2 linked regions of the Alligator mississippiensis genome follow. The protein of the gene in region 2 interacts with the protein of the main gene of each other region in a biochemical or structural test. Links are inferred from orthologs where the notes say so. Each region holds a gene or a part of one and is shown on either strand. Other genes may lie near its edges.

Region 1 (9,983 bases), on a different chromosome or scaffold from region 2:
ATTAAAGTTTACAGCTGCTGCTAGACAAGAGATAGAAAGCATTCCTTGATGGCACTGGGGGCCAACCTTTTGGCAGGCATGCCACAAGTTTGCTCCACACCTTCCTCAAGTGCCACAATCCCCTTCTCTTGCCCACTGTTACCCTGTTTTCTGCTCCAAGCCTGACCTGCTACTTTGCTGTCTGCTCCCAACCCTCTCTGTCACTGTGCTAATTCCCCAATATCACGTGTGCCATACAGGAGGTAGCCTGTGCCACGGGTTGGCCACCTCCTGCCTAAGGGAATTAAAAAAAAGCAGTGCCCTCTGGCTCTTCCCCTCCAGTGCTCAGCACTGAGGGGGAAAACACAACTGTAGTAGGTCTGTACTGAGGCAGCAACACAGGGTAGGTGAAAGGTGAGGGCACACTGAGGTAGCAGCAAAGGCCCGGTGGCTGGACACCAAAGTCAGCCTGGAAGCTTGCTGCCATGTGAGCATGTCAAACAGGCCACACCGCCAACTTCTGATAACTCACAGGATTACCAGCCAGCCAGACTGAACGGCTTTGCAGGCTGAATGTTTGACACCACTGCCTTAAGGTAATCGAAAATTTGAGTGACTTTTTTTGCGTTTCCCTGGTTAAATTCACTTGGGCTCTTTACTCTGCCTGACAGGTATGCTTAGAGAAAAGCCACGGGACTAGGAGGCAGTGACAATCAAATAAATTAACATGCGTTGCAGGGGAAACCCCACCTCTTTGATCAACCACACCTTCTCAGGCAGTTTTGCACGCTGTCCAACTATTCCTCTTTCATTACACGTTCATCTGCTAACCAAGTACACCTGCAATTTATATTCACCACTCCAAACATCAGCAGGCAGAGGTTTAGCAGAGAACTTACTTGGACGGGCCGATTCTGACTTGCAAGACTGTTAGGTTCTTCTTGCCAAAGAAATCCTTGACGCCAGTCTTCAGTTCCTCCAGGTCCTTGTTGGGGTCCAGATTTCCAACGAAGAGGGAGAAAGCTTCAGCATTTTCTTAAAAAAAATAAAAATAAAAAAAATAAATAAAAACACGCACACACTAAAGTTGTACGGCTTAAATGCAACCCTGTTGTAACTCACTGACTGCACCAGACTTCAGCACATCAGATTTTAAAAAAACCTGACATCAGGCTTCAGTATTAAGTCCCTAGTACTCATCACCTGTGCTGACAGCCCCCCAGCAGTCAAAGCCTTTGCACAAACTCCCCATCCAGCAGGGTTTCACACTTGAGAAGTGCTTTAAAGGCTAAGCTGGAGACTCAGGAAGCTTTTTCAGACTGCTGCTTCTCTAACCTACCTTCAGTTGTTTTCTTTTTCTTGACTTCTGGGGCACTCTTTTGATTGGCCATTTCTTTCTTTCGTTTCCCAGATGCTTCCTTCACAGGCTCTATGGAACAGAGGAAAAGACAGGAAGATGTTGAAATAAAAACCAAGGTTTAAGGCACCAGTAACAACCAGTCTTTCAAACTGGATCAGTACTTGACTATCTTGAGAAACGCTCATGTGTGATTTCCATCACATCATCATTTCAAACACTTCTCATCAGTTCCAGTTTTATGCAAATCAAGGACTTCCGACACAACTTGCTCACGAATGGTAACTGCTCTAGAAGACAGCAGTGTGCTACTGCACAGCACAAATTCATACACAGCTACGTTCAACTCACTTCCCCCCTCATCCTCTTCATCGTCGTCATCATCCTCCTCATCGTCATCTTCATCATCATCATCATCGTCCTCCTCATCATCCTCCTCTTCAGAATCTGCCTTGGCTATTGCAGCAGCAGCTGCCTTCACTAGAGCTACTTTTTTCACTTGCACTGGGGTGATGTCCATGGCCTCCTCCTCGTCAGAGTCTGAAGTGATAAGAGATGTTAGAACACAAGCTGCAATTTTGTGCAATACCAAGGAGACTTCACGTCAATCCCCTTTGAGGGGAATGGGACAGTCAACTCATCTTGTTCATTTAAGCCTGTGAGCTCTAAAAAAAAGAACTCTTAATGCATCTCCATGATACCTAGCACAAACCAATTTTGGCTGGGCGCCTCTAAGTGCCACCCATGATATCGTAAGTCCTACCATCCAATGGTAAGAAGCTCTGCAAGCGCCAACAGGAAATAAGTGCTCCAAACCCACTAGTAACATGTTAACCGCTCCATCACTAAGCTCTTGCAGCCCTATAAACACTAGTTTAGACCTAAATGGGACAAATAAGCAGTTGCCTTTAAAAATGTGAAGTTAAGGAGTCTTTTGGCACCCTCTTAGCAAGTCATGCCAATTCAAACCATGTGCTCCTCATCTCAGCCCTGTCACACCAAGCGCAGCCTACATACCATCCTCTTCATCGTCATCCTCCTCGTCATCTTCCTCCTCATCAGACTCTTGCTTCGCTGGGACAGCGACTGGTTTTTTGGCGGGTACAGCTACAGGTTTTTTGGCTGCAAGCTTCACAGGCACTGGGACTTCCTCCTCCTCCTCGGACTCATCTGTAACAACAGCCAATTACTCAGTGTTCTGCAAACTACAACCGAGCACGTTATTGTTACTACAGCCTTGACTGAAACTTTAACATCTCACCAACTTGGGTCCAGTTAGAAGCTCTGGAAACAGAGGGCTAATCGTCAGTTTAAGCATCACGTAAATACTGACAGAGCCAATGCCATGTGCTTCCATACAGCTCCAACATTAAGCTTGCCTATCTTTCTTTCACTGCCCCCATCTTGATGCTACGCCAGACCTGTGCCACTTGACTACTAGATGTGCTGAACTGCACAACAGAGCTGCGATGGAAAATGCACAAGCAGCTGGACTGGACCATCTTAGTGTACTCGTTGAAGATAGCCAAACTACTGATAGACTGGCGATGCCCAACCAGTGTGCCCAGGCACCCTGAGGCACTGCAGAAAGTGAGAGGAGAGAAGCAGCTAAGGGCAGGCTCCACCTCCTGTTCTTGATTCCAGTCGTCTTTCCTGCCTAAGGCAGGGGGGCTGGACTCGATCTTGCGAAGCCCCTTCCAATCTATGAATCTACGCCTGCCTGCGCCGTCTGCCAGGTGGTAAGCACTGCAATAAAGAAATTAGTTTCTGAATGGGATGCCGCTCAATTCCTAAGAGTTACGGAAGGTGGCTTGAGAGTAAAAAGGTTGAGAACTGCATGACTGTTGTCTTACCAGAGTCCTCTTCATCCCCCTCGCTGTCATCATCTTCTTCTTCCTCGCTCTCCTCTTTCTTGGCATTTTTTCCATTTTTCGCTCCTTTGGCCGGAGCAGCAGCCTTCTTCACCGGTGGAGTCGCTACCTTCTTAGCAGGAGGGGCAGGCTTTTTTCCAGGAGAGGCAGCTGCAGCTGCTTTTTTGCCAGGTGTGCCTGCTGCTTTCACAACTACTTTCTTCTGAGGAACCACCACCTTAGAGAGGGGAACACCGAGCGAGGAATGATTAAGCAACTCCTACACGTGCTTCAGAAAGCTGGTTTCAAACTGTCAGCTACCGAAGTCACAACCCACAAATGAGACCATGTGCCGGGGCCTCTAATAAGCTGGAGGTTTGGCCTTTCCTGCCCAAGGGCCGAGCCACTCTGCCCGTTAACAGCTACCCTTCATTTGCGCGCGGATTAGGAACACGCACGCTACGTTTGCGCGCGTTGTATCATCACGCCTGTTCATTCCCGTAACACGGTAACTCCGGGACAAATCGTGTCCTGGACGTGCCAATTTTCAGAGCTGTCAGCAAGGTGGCTATGAACAGTGTCCTCTGTGATGCTCTGCAAAACTTGGGGGGGGGGGGAGGGGAGGATAATTAAGGCACCCAACTTTATGGAGGACGGATACAAAAGGCTACACCAGAGATGCTCAATCCGTTGCCGGCAGACCACATCCGGGCCCCGCAAGTACCACGGACTAAATGCATTTTGGAACCAAGCAGCCAAAAAGGTGACCCCCCCGCCCCCCCCCCATAAGGTTATTCAGCAAGACCCAAAATACCCCTCTTCAAATAATGGCTCTTTGCTTCTGCCACCCCCTCCCCCCACCCAGTTTAGGAAAGGATTAAGTGCCCCCCCCCCGCTTGGTTTAGGGAAGGATTAAGGCCCCCTCCCCGTTTTGGGAAGGATGAAGCGACTCGAGTCGCGGGAGAGAAGGGCGATCACCTCCTCCTCGCTGCTGCTCTCTTCCTCCTCGGAGGACTCCTCTTCCTCGCTGTCGTCCACGTTTTTGGGCGGCGGCAGCGGCGCAGGAGCAGCTTTCTTCTGCTTGACTTGATTCTTCGCGTTCTGAGAGACGGGAAAGGAGCCGGCGCGTCAGGCGCGTCTGCCTTCCCCCCCCCCTCCAATTTCGGGATAAATTTGCCCCCCTCCCCCAGGCTAGGCCCCATCCCCCCACGTGGCTGCCCCCCCAACACGTGTGCCCTGCTCCAGTCAGTCTCCAAGGTGCAGTTTCCCGCCCCCCCCCACCCTGCGGCCCACACCACGAGGCCCGGCCGGGGGGGGGGGCCACGTGCGCGGGGACACCACGTGGCCGCGCCCCCCCAACCGCGGTCTTGCTCCCCCCCCCCCCCGCTTCCCCCTTCGCTTCTCCTCCCCGGGGCCGGGCGCGGGCGCAGGGCCAGGCTAGGCCGGGCCTCACCTTGGCGAGCTTGACCATGATGGCGGCGGCGCGGGAGGCTGCGACTGGCGCCTCGGCCTGCAACGACGGAGTGAGCGCGGCGTCCCCGCGCCCCTCCCCACCTCCGCCTTTCGCCCCGCCCTCCGCGCCCCGCTGGAGCCAATCGCAGCCCGCGCCGCGGCCCGGCCCGCCCCCGCGCAGGGTCGGCGCCCAATCGGCACAGCTCCCCCCGGACGGAGCCGAGCCAATCCGCGCGGCTTCCGGCGCCGGCCAATGGGGAAGCGCGTTCTAGGGAAGTGCTGAGGGGGGGAGAGGTAGCCAATGGCGGGGCGCGATGTTAGGCTCCCGCGCGCTGATTGGGCGGGGCGTGGGGGTTGGGGAAGGGGCCGAGCACGTGGCGCCTGCGGGACCACGTGGGGTTGGGCCTTGGGTTGGGGGTGCTGGGCTGGGCCGGGTCGAGCGGGGGGGGCTGCGCGCGCCTGGGCCCTGACACTGTCCGTGGGGGGAGGGGTGTACGTGTGTGTGCAGGTGTCTCCGCCCCGGGGCTGTGCCTGGAACAGATAGATACCCCGAAATAGACACGTCTGTGTGCAGCTTCCAGATGGGGACGTGTAGACGCGGGGAGCTGTTGGAGTGGGGCTAACAGCGTGTGCCCAAAGAACCTTGTCTGCACATGTGTGTGTGTGCGTGCGTGTGCATTCGTGTGTGCCTGTATAGATGCGTGCATGTGTATGTGTGTGCGCATTCATGCATGTCTATAGATGCACACGTGTACGTGTATATGCGTGTGTAGATATGTATGTAGATGTATGTACATGTGTATAATACATGTAGGTGTGTGTGTATACATGTGTATATGTGTATAGATGCATGTGTGCATATGTTGCGTGTGTGTAGATGTGTGTGTGTATATGTTGATGCGTGTGTGTAGATGTGTGTGTTGATGCATATTGGTCTAATAAAAGATCAAATTCACCCAAGGAACCTTCTCTGCCCGTGTTTTGATGCGTGTGTGTGTGTATGTGTGTGTTCATGTGCATATATATATATATATAGATGAGTGTGCATGTGCATCTATATGAGTGTATGTGTGTGTTAACTACGTGGGGGACACACGTAGGTGTAGATACGTACACACACAGGCGCACACGGATGAGGGCTCGCTCTCCCTGCGAATCGTGGAGGGGACGTGATTTGAAAGTGCGAAGGTTTCCCTGGACGGCTCCGCGCAGGGAGGGGGTCGCCGTCCGCAGTCTGAACGGGGGGGGAGGTGCACCTTACAGACTAACCAGTTGCTATAAAGGGGCTTTTGTAGCACTTGGAGAAGTGGGCTGCTGGTTGTGAAAGCTTCTCCAAGGCTGAACTCAGCCCTGCCTTCTGCCAGGCGTGATCCTGGACGGAGTAGCCAGGTACCATTACTGACTTCTTCGGGAGCGGCTTGTGCGGATGAGCCCTCCGCAGGGATTTATCCTGCCGCCCAGCACCATAGGAGCTAAATCCCTTCTATGTAAAATCAGCTGCTATAGTGATGTTCATAAGAGAAGTCATAGCACAATTCACCGGCAGAGTCTATATATGCCTGAAGAAGGGTGTTTGTGCCCAAAAGCTCGCAAAGAGCAATTTTTCCAACTATTTAGTCGGTCTAATAACAGATCTCGCATCTACCCAAAGAACATGGCCTGTTCATAGCATCTTGGCACTTTGGGGGAGGAAGGGGTCAGATTTCGTTGGTATAGATACATTTTTTCCTTTTGCTTGATAAAAATTTAGGAATAAAAGATCTGTTTTCCCTCCTCCTTTCCCACCCCTCTCGTTCATGATTTCCTTCCGTCTCTACTCCTCTTATTCTTCCTTTTATTTTTGCCTCTTCCTCCAGGAAGACGGGTCTGGCGCGAGTCCTGCTCACCTCCAATGGCAATTAATGCGGAAGAGTCCTGGGTTCAGATAGCCAAAAAAACCCAGAGAGGAGTCTTTGATCTAGTAAATGCCCTTTGCTACCACATGTTTATGGAAAACACACCCGGCTCCCGGAGCAGCCCATGGGAATCCCACAAGTGTTGGCTGACAACACAAAAGCTATTAATTGCTACTACCTGGGGAACAACCCAGATCAAAGAGCGGTTGTGCAGGGCCTCTATATGCTCATAGTAAGAGACAGTCCCTCCTTCAAATGCTGTGAAATTTTACTCTCACTTAGCAGTAGTTTTATTTTAACCGTCTAATCTCTTTAATCTCTAACAAACCCGCTGTGTCAATCTGTAACCTGCTTTATTAAGCCGTATCGATCACTAGCAAACCTGCTCTGGGTAGTTCACATCAATTCATTTTCTGTAAAATTGGGTGTGTGGACATGCTAGTCTGCCTGCAATCTGAGATGCGTCCTCCGTACCACGCAGTGTGCTGGAAGCCGGCTGTGTAACCGCCTAACCCCAAAACAATACAGTAAAGGCAGCGTGATAGGAGCACGCAGATTGCATCTGCTTTGTCTTGCAAATATCAGAAAAGTCAGCAAAGAGCTGGAGTTTCCATGGCTGCCAGTGGGGATTTCCCAATGGTGCGGGTTGCGTTCAGAATGGCTAATTTAGAAATCATGCAAGCAGGCTTTGGGGTTTTTTTGACCAAAATGCCATAGAGGTGGTCCCCATGGCCCACGGAGGGGAGGGGTGAAGGCTTTCGTGCTTCTAGCAGCTCTTGCTCTTGGTAGATTCTGCTAGTGGGAGAAGGTGAATCTAGGCCCTACCCAGTAAAAGGATGATGTGTCCACACCTGGAGCAACTCTATAGCCCAGCCCCTGCCTCCAAGTTACACCTGCCCTTGCAGAGCAGAGCATAGCAAGGCCTTGGCTTCCCCAGGCTGCTTTGGTGGCTGGTTCTGCCGGCACCTGCCCCAGCATTTGTACATCCACATGACCCCTGCCAGGGGACAATGACTCGTTACTGGCATATATAGATGTGCAAAACTCTAGAGCTCTTAGTTCAGAGATAATACCTTTTATTAGACCAGCTAAGATATTGCAAAAAACCCCCAAACCATGGAGACCCCATGCTCCCCATAGGAGCAGGGTGGCAGCCGGAGAGGGGGGCCGGGCTAGGTGGGGAGACTGTGTCCTCAGTCAGTTATTCACTCACGGGCTGCTTGGAAGAGGGGCTGTGCCATGTGCTTGGGGACTAAAATTGCCCTCGGCCTTCATGCGGCGACTCATGAATCACCTTAGCCTGAGAGGGCATCTTGGTGCACGTGTAGGCAAGGTATCCAGGTTGTAGCCGTATTGGTCTAGAGGCAATCAGGACTCGTAGAGGCGATATCTTTTATTAGACCAACTAGATTTTTTTTACAAAAAAAATTCCTTTCCTTGCAAGTTTACGGGCACAAACACCCGTCCTCAGGCATCGGAGAAAAGACTGTCAAATTCTCCCAGGTAGAAATGAAAGTTCATATTTCCTAGGAGAGTTAAAGGTGTGGTAAAATCTCCGGTTTGGCACCGTTCATTTTATGCAGGTTAGGCTCAGAGAAACGTTGGAATAGTCTGTTTGCCTCAAAGTTATCTGGGGGCAAGCAGGAGGCAGTCGTATTTCTTTCGGGTTGTGCCGTTTCATGTTTCACAGAGCAGTAAAAAGACAGAATGCTTTTCCCGGCAGGTGCTTGTCGGTGAAATATGAAACGGTATTTTTTCAGCAGTCAAAAAGAAAGCTTTTCAGCACTCGGAAATCAAGCTTGAAGGGTGCCTTGAGTCTGGCGAGGGGACCTTGAGTCTGCAAATTGCCCTGCCTCTAGCAGCCCCGGGCCCACGCCGCAAGGGCTCAGGACCGCGGTCATGTCGTGCCCACCTCGAGAGGACGGATGTCGACATCAAGAGCTGGCAGGAGCAGGCTGTGATGCAGCCCCAGCGGTGCCACAACCTCAACCAAGCAGCAGCCGGTTTCGAGGTAAAGCGTCTTGCCCTTGAAGCAGAGAAGAGAGAACGGAGGAAGGAAAGGGAGAGCAATCCCAGCCGGCAGCCTACTCTCCCCTGCAGAAAACCTGCAGGATCTGCGGCTCAAGCCCTGGACTCTTCAGTCACCTCAAGCCCCATCCATGAGTTGTGTCAGAGATCATCCTCAGTCGAGGGACTGCTAACGTCATGCCCGGACTCATCTCCAGCCTGGCCAAGGGCCTGGCAGGTGAACCGGGGGCCCTTCCCCTGCATCTTAGCTCATGCAGGGCCACCTTTCAGATCCCCCGGCAGCAAAACCCCCCAGTGCTTTGAAAGGCATCACTTCTCCCTGGCACTGCATAGGTGAGCAGTCAGCTGTCCTCCGGGTCCTGTGCGGTGGACACAGAGCAGTGACTGCTCGGCTGGCCCCCAGGGAAACTGAGGCACAGACAGGCAAAGGCATTTACCGAAGGCCGTTGAGGGAAGCAGTGGCCGTTCAGGTGTTCTGGGTCCAGGCCCACAGTCAGTTCATTAGACTGCAAGGTTTCTCGGTTGGATGCCGTGTGTGTGCCTATGACGCTGGATAAAAGCAGCGGGTTTATCCCAGGGCTGACTGCCCCAGGCTTTGCCTCACATCAAAACAGGAGGGACTACACATGCTGCTTGAATGGCAATTAGCTTGAATTAGACACTATTGTTGGGATGGGGGAGTGCTATTCTGAGTACTTCACGGGTACTTAATGGGACAATGAGCTTGTGAACTGCAGGACCCCTGAGTTTATGCTCTAGCCTGGTCTGTAGCTAGAGATACACACCTTCCACACCCCTATGTAGTGGGAGGAGGCCTTGGGCTTGTCCCTGCTGCAACCGCGGGAGGTGCTGCCTCTCCCTGTGCTACACATGAAAACAGTGGCTCAGAGAGACAAAGGGACTTGACCAAGGTCACGTGTGTCTGTGGCAGATCCAAGAACAGGATCCAGGTTCTCCCCACCGTCCTCCAGCTTGCACCCTCCTCGTTTAAAAGGGATCTTTGATCTCCATGGGCAATCGGGACCGTGGACTAAGCACCGTGCCTCCAAGCACCATTGCCGGGCATGTCATCCGTGTCCTGAGCAGGTGCCATCTAGGATGCAGAAGCCAGTGCAAGATGATGGGAGGCAAAAGAGCTATGAGGGATGCTGCTGGCCCCAGCACACAGCAGGTTAAACTGGCCCGGAGGCTAGGAATTACAGAGGAAGAAAGGCCCGGGTTCTGGGATAGCATCCCATAGGGTGTCATGGGGTAAAAAGTCCGTTGCATTTAGGGTGATGTCTTTATAAGGGGGATTGCCTGATGTGGGGCTGGGCTCGGTGCCCCAGCAAGCTCCGTGATGTGTGACCCATCACACCAAGTCGATGGCACCCACCCCTGGCAGGTACATCCACCCGGCGGAGGGCTGCATCTGCACTCGAT
Region 2 (10,262 bases):
AGTATACATCTGTTGAACAAGGTGTCATTTTCAGACGGTGACCATAACTGTACATTAAAATGACATCTTGCACCAGAAAATAAGAAGTTTACATACTGTGATGAAGATATTTTCTAAAATGGTAAATATATTTCAGGTTGGTGTTTTAACAGTGCACCGCTTACAACATCATCAGCTAAGAATGCATTTATACACTAAGCAATTAAATCACTTCACTACACAAAAGGACATGTCATCACTTCTAAGACCAAACATGTTAAGTTCCTAACAGTTCATAGTAACACCAAAGAACCATTGAAAAATACTATAGCCAAATTAAATTGGTCTAACTACCTCCATTGCTGCAGCTGACCAAGTAGGAATTCACCCAGGATAGTCCTACAAACACTGGTATGATTATTTAATAGCCAGAAACAGTCAGGACCTTGTTTTATGTACAGTATTGCCTCCAATATTGCAATACTTTACATCAAGTTAAATACTAAATTTATTTGGACTGTATTCCGAGACAACACTGCTACATTCTGAACCATAACCTGAGTATTTCTGGAAGGTCTCCCTTAAAATTAGAAGAGCCACCTTCATATACTGCAAACTAACAAAGATGGATGAAGTGATTAAAATAAAAAGGTTGCATGAGTGCAGACTAAAAAAAAACCAGATCCTTCCCAACTCTTTCTCTGAGTGGTCATCTACTCCATCCTTATCTTATACCCAGCAGGACCTTTTATACCCGAATCATTCCTTACAAGTGCGTCTCCAGATCAAATGTCAAGTTCCTTGTCATAATAAGAATAGTTAATTGCAAGTATGTAGCCAATGCATTATAAATACTATAAATCAGAAGATACCCAATATATTCTTTATTCCTAAGAAGGCATCTCTGCCTAATACTTATATTTTATGGATTAATGAAACTTCCCTTCAGCCTTGTAACTGTAATAAGCAAAGGGTCTGGAAAAAAAAAAAAAAAAAAAAGAGACGCACACATTTGTTGCCCACAGAACAGAGTAAAGTAGCCAACATTTTTAAGAGTTTGGAAAAAAAATATCCGTGGGAGTCTTACTACTCCCCACCCAATCCTCAGCACTAATTAAAAAAAAAAAATCAAAACAAGTATATAAAAAGCAGAGCCCCAGCACCATGCCTAAAATGAAAGACGATATTCTAAGATTGCTATGTGACAGAAGCAAAGGATATTACTGTGCAATAGAAGCAAGGAAGAACCTGAAGAGAAAAAAAAAACTCCATGTTCCCAGAAGTTAAAGCTTTGGCAAGGTCAGAAAAGACACAGGCTACTAATAGTGCTATTCTCCTAACAAGCCAAACAGGGTTACAAGCATCATTCATTGCTGAAGAGTTCCTGGGCCACTAAGGGACAAAATAAAAAAATAAATAAATAAAAAAAAATAAAAAAAAAATTAGCTAGTCATGTCTACTGACAACAAAAGGAAGATATGGGATTGCAATGCGAAGGCAGAAGTCTACAATGCCTTCACTGCCCGAAATTCAGACACCTTTAATTCACCGGTGTACAGTGTCAGAGGTACCCGACATGTTCTTAGTTTAAATCTGTGTACCAGACTTCCTTCAGCAGTTGTGCGGGGACAAGAAAAGGCTAAGAGTTAAGAGCATCTAGCACTGCATTTCTAAAAGCATCCCTAATTAGGAACAAAAGAAACCAAGCAGAGCTAGCCTTAATATGTTAGAAGGGAAATCCCAGTTAAGCTGGTCACCACAATTTGGGATAGAGGGATCGACATGCATCACTTCACATATGTAAATTAGCAAGTAACTGAGGCTTTTTTTTCTGACTACAATTACCCCTAATATTTATCTGCATATGAAGGTTACAAAAATTCATACACATGCATATTTTAAGTATTTCTAAGAAACCCAATTCGGGTCCAAGCAGTAAGCGATTTTCCCCTTCTTCCTTTAAATATTTAGTTTTGGGGCTTCACGTTATCTATATAATGGAAAAATTGTTTAAGAACCGAGTAACTAAATCACCACAATCCTGTTACATACACACACTTACACCATTTCATTTTATTCATATGCACAGGTACCAAGAGATGGGTACACACTAATATTCACATGCAAGACAAAGAACAGGTTGCAAAGCAGGTAGACACACAAACAGTATCCAAAACAGTATGGCAGGGAAGGCAAGAACCTAGGCTCATAAAAACAGTGCTGCCCCAAAGGTGTGGGGGGCCAGTTCAGTGACCTTTCCAGAGTGAGGGAAGAATGAGTTCAAGGCACCTTCACACACCTGGGCCATGGTCCTCCCCCCGTCTCCACCCTCCATCAATCAGGGGACAGAGCTCTTCATGTAACTCACCGTGTAACAGTGACACATGGATGTAGAGGCAGGTAATAATAGTCCCTTGAACAATACCACCCACCAGTTGGGGGGGGGGGGGGAGAAGAGGTGCAACCTATATGCTACCCTGTAATAGATCCTCCCCCCACCCCCAAAAGAAAGAAAGAAAAAGCCCCTGCCACCCATAAAACTCCTCCAACCCTCCCCACCACAATGAACAGCGGACTGGTGAACTTTCTGAAGTGATGCCCTCTCCTTTGCTGCCATTGCCTTGGCTGTCTTTTATAGTTTTTTTCTGAAGCTGAAAATAAAAGTTAAAGCCCCACCCAGCCAGGTGAAAGTTAAAGCCATTCAAAGAAATAAAAGCCTGGGCTTAAAATGGATGCAGCAGAATCTTTTAAAGAGCAACATGTTGCAACCACCTTTCATGCGAGGGAAGGGAGGGAATGACTGGCAGGCTGGGAGCCGGGGAGCCGAGGGGGGCGGCTGCAGCAAAAGCAGCTCGAGGAAGGGGGAGGGGGGCCGATTTAGCCTAAAAAAATAATCGCCTTCCCCCCCAGGAAGAAGGGTGCGAGGGCAGGAGGGGGCCACTTGGCCCGGGTTCCTCGGCAGGAGGCTGGTTCCCAGCGGCGAAGGGAAGGAGGAGAAGGAGAGAAAAAGACACACGCACAGGAGAGAGAGGAGAGGAGAAAAAGAAAATGGCGCAGAGACTAAGTCCCGACCGTCGACAAGGCGACTTTCCAGGGAGGAATCGGGGCCCAAGGGGAGCCCCGGGGACGAGATGGGGGCCGGGGCGGGGGCCGGGGGGCCGCCCCTGGCGGGGGAGCGGGCGGGCGGGGGCCCCGGCGGCAGCAGGCGGCAGCACTGGGCGGCTCGATGGGAACAATGGGGCCGGTGAGCGAGCAGCCGGGACTTAGTCTCTGGGACGCCATGTCTGGCCGTGCCCGAGCTGGGCCGCGGGGGCCGCGGGGCCGGGGCGGACTCACCGTTGGCTCGGAAATCCGCCTCGATCTGCGGGGGGAAGCGGAGACAAGCGACAATGGGTTACGGCGGCGCCGGCGGCTCCATGTCGGCTGCGTTTCACAAGGGAGCAGCCCCCCCCACCCCATCCGCGGCCCGGTCGGGGGGTCCCCCCCACCCTCCAAACCCGCACAGGGAGGGGAGGAAACCCCCAGCGCCCTCCCCGTGGCGTGGCTAGGCCCGGGGCCCGGCGGGGAAGGGCCCGGCCGAGGGCAGTGGGGAAGGGCCGGCGGGGACGCCCGCCCCGCGGTGCCCGAGGGGGGTCACCTGGGAGTCGTTGTGCAGCTGGTCTCCGCTCATGCCGGCCGCTGTGTGGGGAGGCCGCGGGAGAGCTGAGGCGCCTGGGAGCAGTGGAGTCGGCGGCCACAGCGCAGCCCCTCGCTCCGCAGCCGCTTGTGTAACAGACTAAGTCCTTATTTGCCCTCAGTGCGCAGGCGCCGCGGCTTTTAAAGCGGGGGTGGGAGGGAGGAACGGGCGCCAAGATTTGCATGCGGGCCCCGCCCACCCGCGCGCGGGACGCCGGGTAAGGCTCGCGCCAGGCTCCGCCCCCTTTACGAAAAATGCCGGCTGAGTTCTCGGTGTACCCTACCCCCACCCTAGAACGCCGGCTTTATTTACATATCCGGTCCCACCTCTTCCTGCCCTTCCTCCAATCGCCGAGGCGATGCGGGCTCTCATTTGCATATTCGGACACGCCCTGGCGCAGGAAGGCGCCTACCGCCCTGCAGCACATTGTGTAAGAGCCGGCCTCAACCGGCGCTGAATACGCATGCGCAACGTCTCCCCGCCGGGGGTTCTCTATTTGCATACGGGGCCCCGCCCTGGTTCTTCAAGCTCCGCCCTCTTGGGCTGTCAGCTGCTTGTGTGAGTGGCATGAAAGGGGCAAAGGCAGGATGCAGCGGCCTGCGTTCTTCTCCCTGCCTGCCAGGTCGGGCAGGGCAGCGTGCGGGGCATAGGCGCAGCAGGGGGAGGGGGCAGGTGGGAAAGGGCACTAGCTCTGCAGCCCCAGCCCAAGAGCAGGGGGCAGGGGTAGAGGTAGAAGTAGAGAGGTGGGGGCAGGGGCAGGGCCAGGAAGTGAAGGCAGGTGACAGGTTGAACACATTCCTCACATCTCTACTTTCACCTTCTCTAGCTTCCCCTTAAATGAGTCTATACCTGGGCTTGCTGCAGAGACAGCAGTGACACGGACCAGACATCCAGCCATGATCCCGGTGTCAGCGGTAATGTGTTTAGGCTCAGGTTAATTGACTTCATCAGAAGGATTGTAAATTCCTTGGGGCAGGGACTGTCACTAACTGTATGTTGATCAAGCCCCACATCATCTCTTTGTCTTCACCTGCTATATTAGGGGTTAAAATAATAGACTTTTCCGCATGTGGATAAGTTTCTTGTAAGTAGTGTTTGTTTATATTATGGTGGCATCTATGTAACCTAATCCTCATTTGCAACCCTTCATTTTATTCAACCACAGGCCCAATTATAGCAGAGTATATCATTAGCATAGCCATAACAATATAGGATCTTGATTGTTTGTCTCAGTGTTTCATTTTTTTCCCATTTTTCCTCTCAGCTGTAACTTCTCATGTCTTATGAACCTGATTCTCTGTTTCCTTGTATTGGTTTTGCACCAGTCATGCCACTAACGGTAAGTGAGTCACGTTAATGTCAAACTGGTGGAAGAAGGTAGAGAATCAGGTCCTCTCACTTGTAATTTGATGATGAATATTTAACGTTGGAAGTTTATTGTGGTGGGAAATATAGCCTTTCTGTAGGACACATGCACAGAGTGAGTAGATGGTCAAGCTGGTATCATCATTATTACTATTACTACTACTACTAACAACAATAATATTGTTAAACCCACAGTCAGCATTAAAGGCTATGTTCTCGATGCTGTACAAACAAACACAATGCTAAGAAATAGAGCAGAGATGGAGATGGGGTAGACATGTGCTGGTCTTTAAGACAAAGGTAATAATCACCAGTGCTTCATAAGTTAGAAGTTTTCATTGTAAATTCAGAACAGCCCAAAGATTTTTTTCCTAGTGTAGACATGCCCTTTAACCTAATTTCCAGCAAGGAAATTGAGGGAGAACAGGGATTTTTTAATTTTTTCCCCCTTTAGCTACATCTTGTACCTTCTTTTAAAAAAATCCTAAGGACATCTGCTTCTGTTCTGCAACTGTTAATTGTCTGTACCAAAGGAGCTTTCTCTCTGGTCTACTGAATGGACAAGTTTAATATGTATAGCTAGTACAATATCTCAGAGGACCGCCTTGTCTTCCATCACAAGTTCCATGCAGTACTACAACATGAAGTATATCTTTTCCCTGCTCCTTTATACTACTGGAGCCTTGACTTGATATGAAAATAATCCTGTGCTACCAGGCTAAATGAAGAGCTCAAAAAAAGCACACGAATGTGAGCAGGCAGCATCAGTCACCTTTTGCATGTTATATTTATAGTTCTGTAAGGGTAAAACACTTGTCATTCTCTTACACCCTTCAGAAGAGGATCTGAGGACTTCCTTTTTACCCACAGCCCCCAAGTATTTCTGGCTCTAAATCTGTTTATTATGCAAAATGCTTTACTAACAGATAGGTTTTTAAATAAGTCTTGTCAAGGGATTGCATTGTGTCTCAGAGACATCTACACTGTTGCTTGCAGAAAATCTTCTCTGACAGAAGTAGCAAGGGCCTGTGCTACTGAAGTACAAGGATTTGAATTCTGCTCTGCAGCTCCCATATTCTGAGCACCTGTGGTGGGACTAGAATGATAACCAGGAAGTCCTAAGTATCCACTTATTTGTTACCGTATTTACCTTTTGTCACAGCAGGACAGTATGGGGTGTTTAGTTCCCACAGCATTGGCTATAGTGAAAATCTCTAAATACATGTCTTTTTGAAGAAGCAGTATCATTTCGTATAAGAAAATAGAGTGAGAATCAGTCTTATGCTTCCTGAAGTTATAGCTATTTCATTAATTCCCCCTTATACCCTATGGCCGGATCTCCGAGGCGGCTTCAAAGCTTCAGGGCCACTTCAGCTGGATCAAAGTGGAAACCTGGCCTGGAGCTGCAGATCGGATCCCTGGCATCCGAAGCTGCTGGATCCAAAGCCGGATCGAATAGCTGCCTACTTGCACAGGCCTAACACACACACACACACACACACACACACACACACACACACACACACACACGTGTGCGCACATGCTTGTGAGCGTGTGCGCGCACACTTGTGAGTGCACACACACATGCACGCACACATACTTGTGAGCGCGTGCACACTCACACACTTGTGAGCAGCCTGCACTCATAGTGGCGCTCTCCACCCACCCCGCCTTGGCCAATCCCTACCCTAGGCAGGAGGAGGAATGCCTAGCCCAGCCTGGCCCCCTGCCTCCAGCCGCTGCTGAGAAGGAGTTGAGCCAGGCAGTGTGAGCCTGCCTGGCGCACCATGCTACTCCACCTTGCCACTGGATTGTGCCCTGTGCCACAGCCTGCCCGACTGTGCCTGCAACAGTTCTGCTGACTTGTGGGGGTGTTGGGGTGGGCACCAAAATACAAGTTCACTCCAGGTGCCATTTTCTATAAGGCTGGCTCTGGGAGCATCTTCCAAGAAGGGCCAAGCAGGATAGCTGAGCACCAGCGGGAGCTAATCCCAAGGACCATGTTGGAGATTTATTTTGAACCTCTGGAAAATCTCCTGGGAGGCTTCCCAGTTATTCTGGTGCCTCAACTACTTTATGAGTGAAATTTGAAGGAATATTACACCTTTTTCTCCCTCAGCTGAACCTTCTTGTGCCATCAGGGGGAGGCAGGATTGGAATAAAACATCATTCAGAAGATATGTATAAGCATATCAGACTGAAATGCTTTTGCAGCTGCTTCTGCTGCAGCAAGTTTCAGAGAAAACTCACAATTTTTTGGTGCCCTTCTAGATTCTATAGACAGCACCAGGGGAGTCCGGCAGTTTTTAGCTGATGTAACTTTCTGTCTTAATCAGAAGCACAGTTGCAAGCATGCCTTTTACCCTAATAACTGGAGGAATATTTGGCTATCTTGCATTCAAAATTTTCATCCTCCTTGCAGTGGAACATCTTTCCAAAAAAAAAAAAGAAATCCAGTCCAGGACATGAGTCCATTTTAATTGGATGTCTCAGTTGCAGAGGCCAGCAGAGAGGGTGTGATGAGGGTCAGTTAACTAGCAAGACAGTTCACACCCCATAAAGATAAATGCTGGAAGTTCACACTTCTTGGAGCTATTGTTTCAGTCTGTCTGCTGACTCAACAGGTCGGCAGAGCATCCTAAGATCATTTAAATAAAACTAAGGTGATAGGTTTGAAAAGAAATAGCTGGAATATTTTACATGAAATAATAAATCCCAATGAATACCATAATAAATCAGTAAAAAGCCCTAAAATCTTCAGACCAGTTGAATTTCTACTCACTTAGCTCCTAAGTACTTTGATACCTTTTCCTTTTGCCAGTCTTCAAGAGCTCTACTCAGACACAAAATAAAGATCTTATTAGAATCTTGTTTTAAAGAAAGCTGTTGGGGATGCTGCGGTTCCATCTCCCTCTTTTAACTGTTGGGTCAAATGAAGGGTCAAATCCTGTTATCAGGGCCAGCTCAAGTTAATTGGTGTACTCGGAGGAGCTGCAAAAAGTCTTTTCCCAAGCCAGGTTTGTGGCTGCTTGGTGATCTCAGGGCAGTAGTAGTAGCCTCCATTTCTGCTGTACCTCTGTCCGGGTGAGAAACAGTGTCCCCATATCTGACCCTTCTTCATGGCAGAATCATCATCCTTCTAATGTGCTCAGGGATCTTTGCAGTTGCACAGGGAGGGGCAGGTTTGTCAAATGTACAAATACAGTCAGAAGGACATGCTGTGGCTTTGAGCCCTCCACCTAAGCAGGACCGGTGCAGAATGAATACACTACAGTGGACTACCTTAGATAGATTATCTCCATCGGATATGTGCCTGCAGGTGCCTAAAGCCACACAAGGCACTGTCACCTGTCAAAGAAAATGGAGAACACTATACACCATACTCCTCAATTAGTAGTTGTGGGGAGCACTCACCTTCAGATAACATATATTATCACTAGCAGCACGCACCCAATGGGAAACCTTGGGGACAAGATCAAAATAAGGGCAGATGGGGTCAAAATAAGGAGTGCCCAGGTACTGCATGTAACAGTCTCCTCTCCTGTACCTCTGTACCCTGTACTTGAAAGGGACTGCAATAGTGTAGCAGCTGTTTCCCCTGCTCAGGGATCTCAGTACATGCTGTTACAATTGATGGTAATTCATTATTTAAAGTGGGTCAACCAGCACTGTAGGGGAGTGAATATAGTAGCACTGTAGTCTAGTGTTTCAGGCCTAAAAATCAGATGGTAACGATAAAAGCAAAGATGTAGGTAGCAGTGACCCAAAGTTCTGAATCAGCAACCTGAAAATTAAACCACCCATGTATTTATGTCACCTGGCATAAAATAATTCTACAGTAATTCCAGAATTACTTATCTTTTGGATTACATTTATTTCTATATATAATGCTACTAGATTTTACATTTTAATAGATATAATTCCTTGCCATTTTAGATTATAAAGCCATGGATCCAGATCCTTGACACTGTAGTCAGAGAGAAAAAAGTGTGCATGTATGTGTGAATATGCAAAATTATATGTGCGTACATGTGTATATGTATGGTGTTGTCACCTCTGCTGCTTTTGTAGAAAATCCTATAACTGGGGTTCTTTTCCCCCTTTCTTAGAGACCCCCGCTACTAGAATCAAGAGATTTCAGGACAATTTCAGGTTTCAGCTGAAGGAAAAACTAAATTTCTAGCCTTTGTAGTTCTGAAGCAAGTGCAGCATAAAGTCTTAGAAAAATAAAATACAAAGAAAGGATCCTGAAGATATGCACAAACAAAATGTACTGATTTTTAAAGACTGTGTTATCATTTTGAGGGTGGGATCATGATTCTTAGATGTCTGGGTTTGGCAATGCTGTAGGTATATTTCCAGCCTTCAGGTTTTTGTGTCCAGACATACCTGCATGATTTCCTGGATTCCACATCAGTGTAAATATGTGTAACCAAACAACTTTTTGAAAAGTGAAAACCCAGATCAATAATTGCCTCCATTTGTTTTTTTTCCAAGATAACCTGCTGAGAAACAGTCATGCCAATTATACTGATCTGTATTTTGTTGTTATATTATATTTTGAAACAAAATGATCTCCACACTACTGAAAGCTTATTTTCCACCTTGATAAATTGCAGCAATTATTCATGGCTTAATATGTAGCATGCAGGAGCAGATCCAGCACAACTAGCAGTTCCATTGTGAGTGGTAACTTTCAAAGGCCAGTTTTAATTACTGAGTTTCATCCAGGAAGGGAGAGGTTTGTAATCATGGGTAATTACTAGTTAGGGAACAATAGCTGATATTGGCTGTGACTACATTATGAGAAAGTTTACATTTGATGCCATAGTTTATTATCGTTATTGAAACAAGGAGTCATATGGAAAGGATGGTACCTAAACACAGGAGAAGAATGAAGCCAAGAAACTTTGAATTGTCTTTAATCCAAAAATGACATGTATCATTTCATATGGTTAGAAGCCATTTAATATGCAACATGTACATAAGTGGAATACATTAATCAATACTGTAATAAATGGGTTAGTATTTGTGTGTGTTACCATCCTACTGGATGCAATCAGAACTGCCCCATTCTGTCACACAGTGTCGGTATTATGCTAATAGATAACTTGCTAAATGGGTACTTTGTGTCGGTTTTTCACTAGTCCCAAGGGACACCCCTGCCCATTATGGGATGGGAAGGCTTGGGTGAGGGAGTTTCCTTACCCTCCATCAATGCTGACCTTGTGAAGGAACACCT

Evidence for each region. The genes of interacting proteins can lie anywhere in the genome.
Region 1: the proteins of TOP1 (region 2) and NCL form a complex in vitro, tested with the Homo sapiens proteins (2 studies listed by BioGRID and IntAct). The link is inferred for Alligator mississippiensis from reciprocal best matches to the Homo sapiens genes TOP1 and NCL.

The regions. Positions count from the first base shown.
Region 1 is NC_081830.1:85,137,036-85,147,018, reverse strand, and holds the start of NCL (nucleolin), read right to left. Parts: upstream 4,750-9,983; 5' UTR 4,658-4,749; coding exon 4,640-4,657; intron 4,288-4,639; coding exon 4,165-4,287; intron 3,425-4,164; coding exon 3,190-3,424; intron 2,507-3,189; coding exon 2,354-2,506; intron 1,877-2,353; coding exon 1,688-1,876; intron 1,409-1,687; coding exon 1,319-1,408; intron 1,190-1,318; exon of another isoform or gene 1,120-1,189; intron 1,015-1,119; coding exon 879-1,014; intron 1-878. UniProt on the Homo sapiens protein: Nucleolin is the major nucleolar protein of growing eukaryotic cells. It is found associated with intranucleolar chromatin and pre-ribosomal particles. It induces chromatin decondensation by binding to histone H1.
Region 2 is NC_081832.1:17,919,355-17,929,616, forward strand, and holds the start of TOP1 (DNA topoisomerase 1), read right to left. Parts: upstream 3,778-10,262; 5' UTR 3,650-3,777; coding exon 3,617-3,649; intron 3,341-3,616; coding exon 3,316-3,340; intron 1-3,315. UniProt on the Homo sapiens protein: Releases the supercoiling and torsional tension of DNA introduced during the DNA replication and transcription by transiently cleaving and rejoining one strand of the DNA duplex.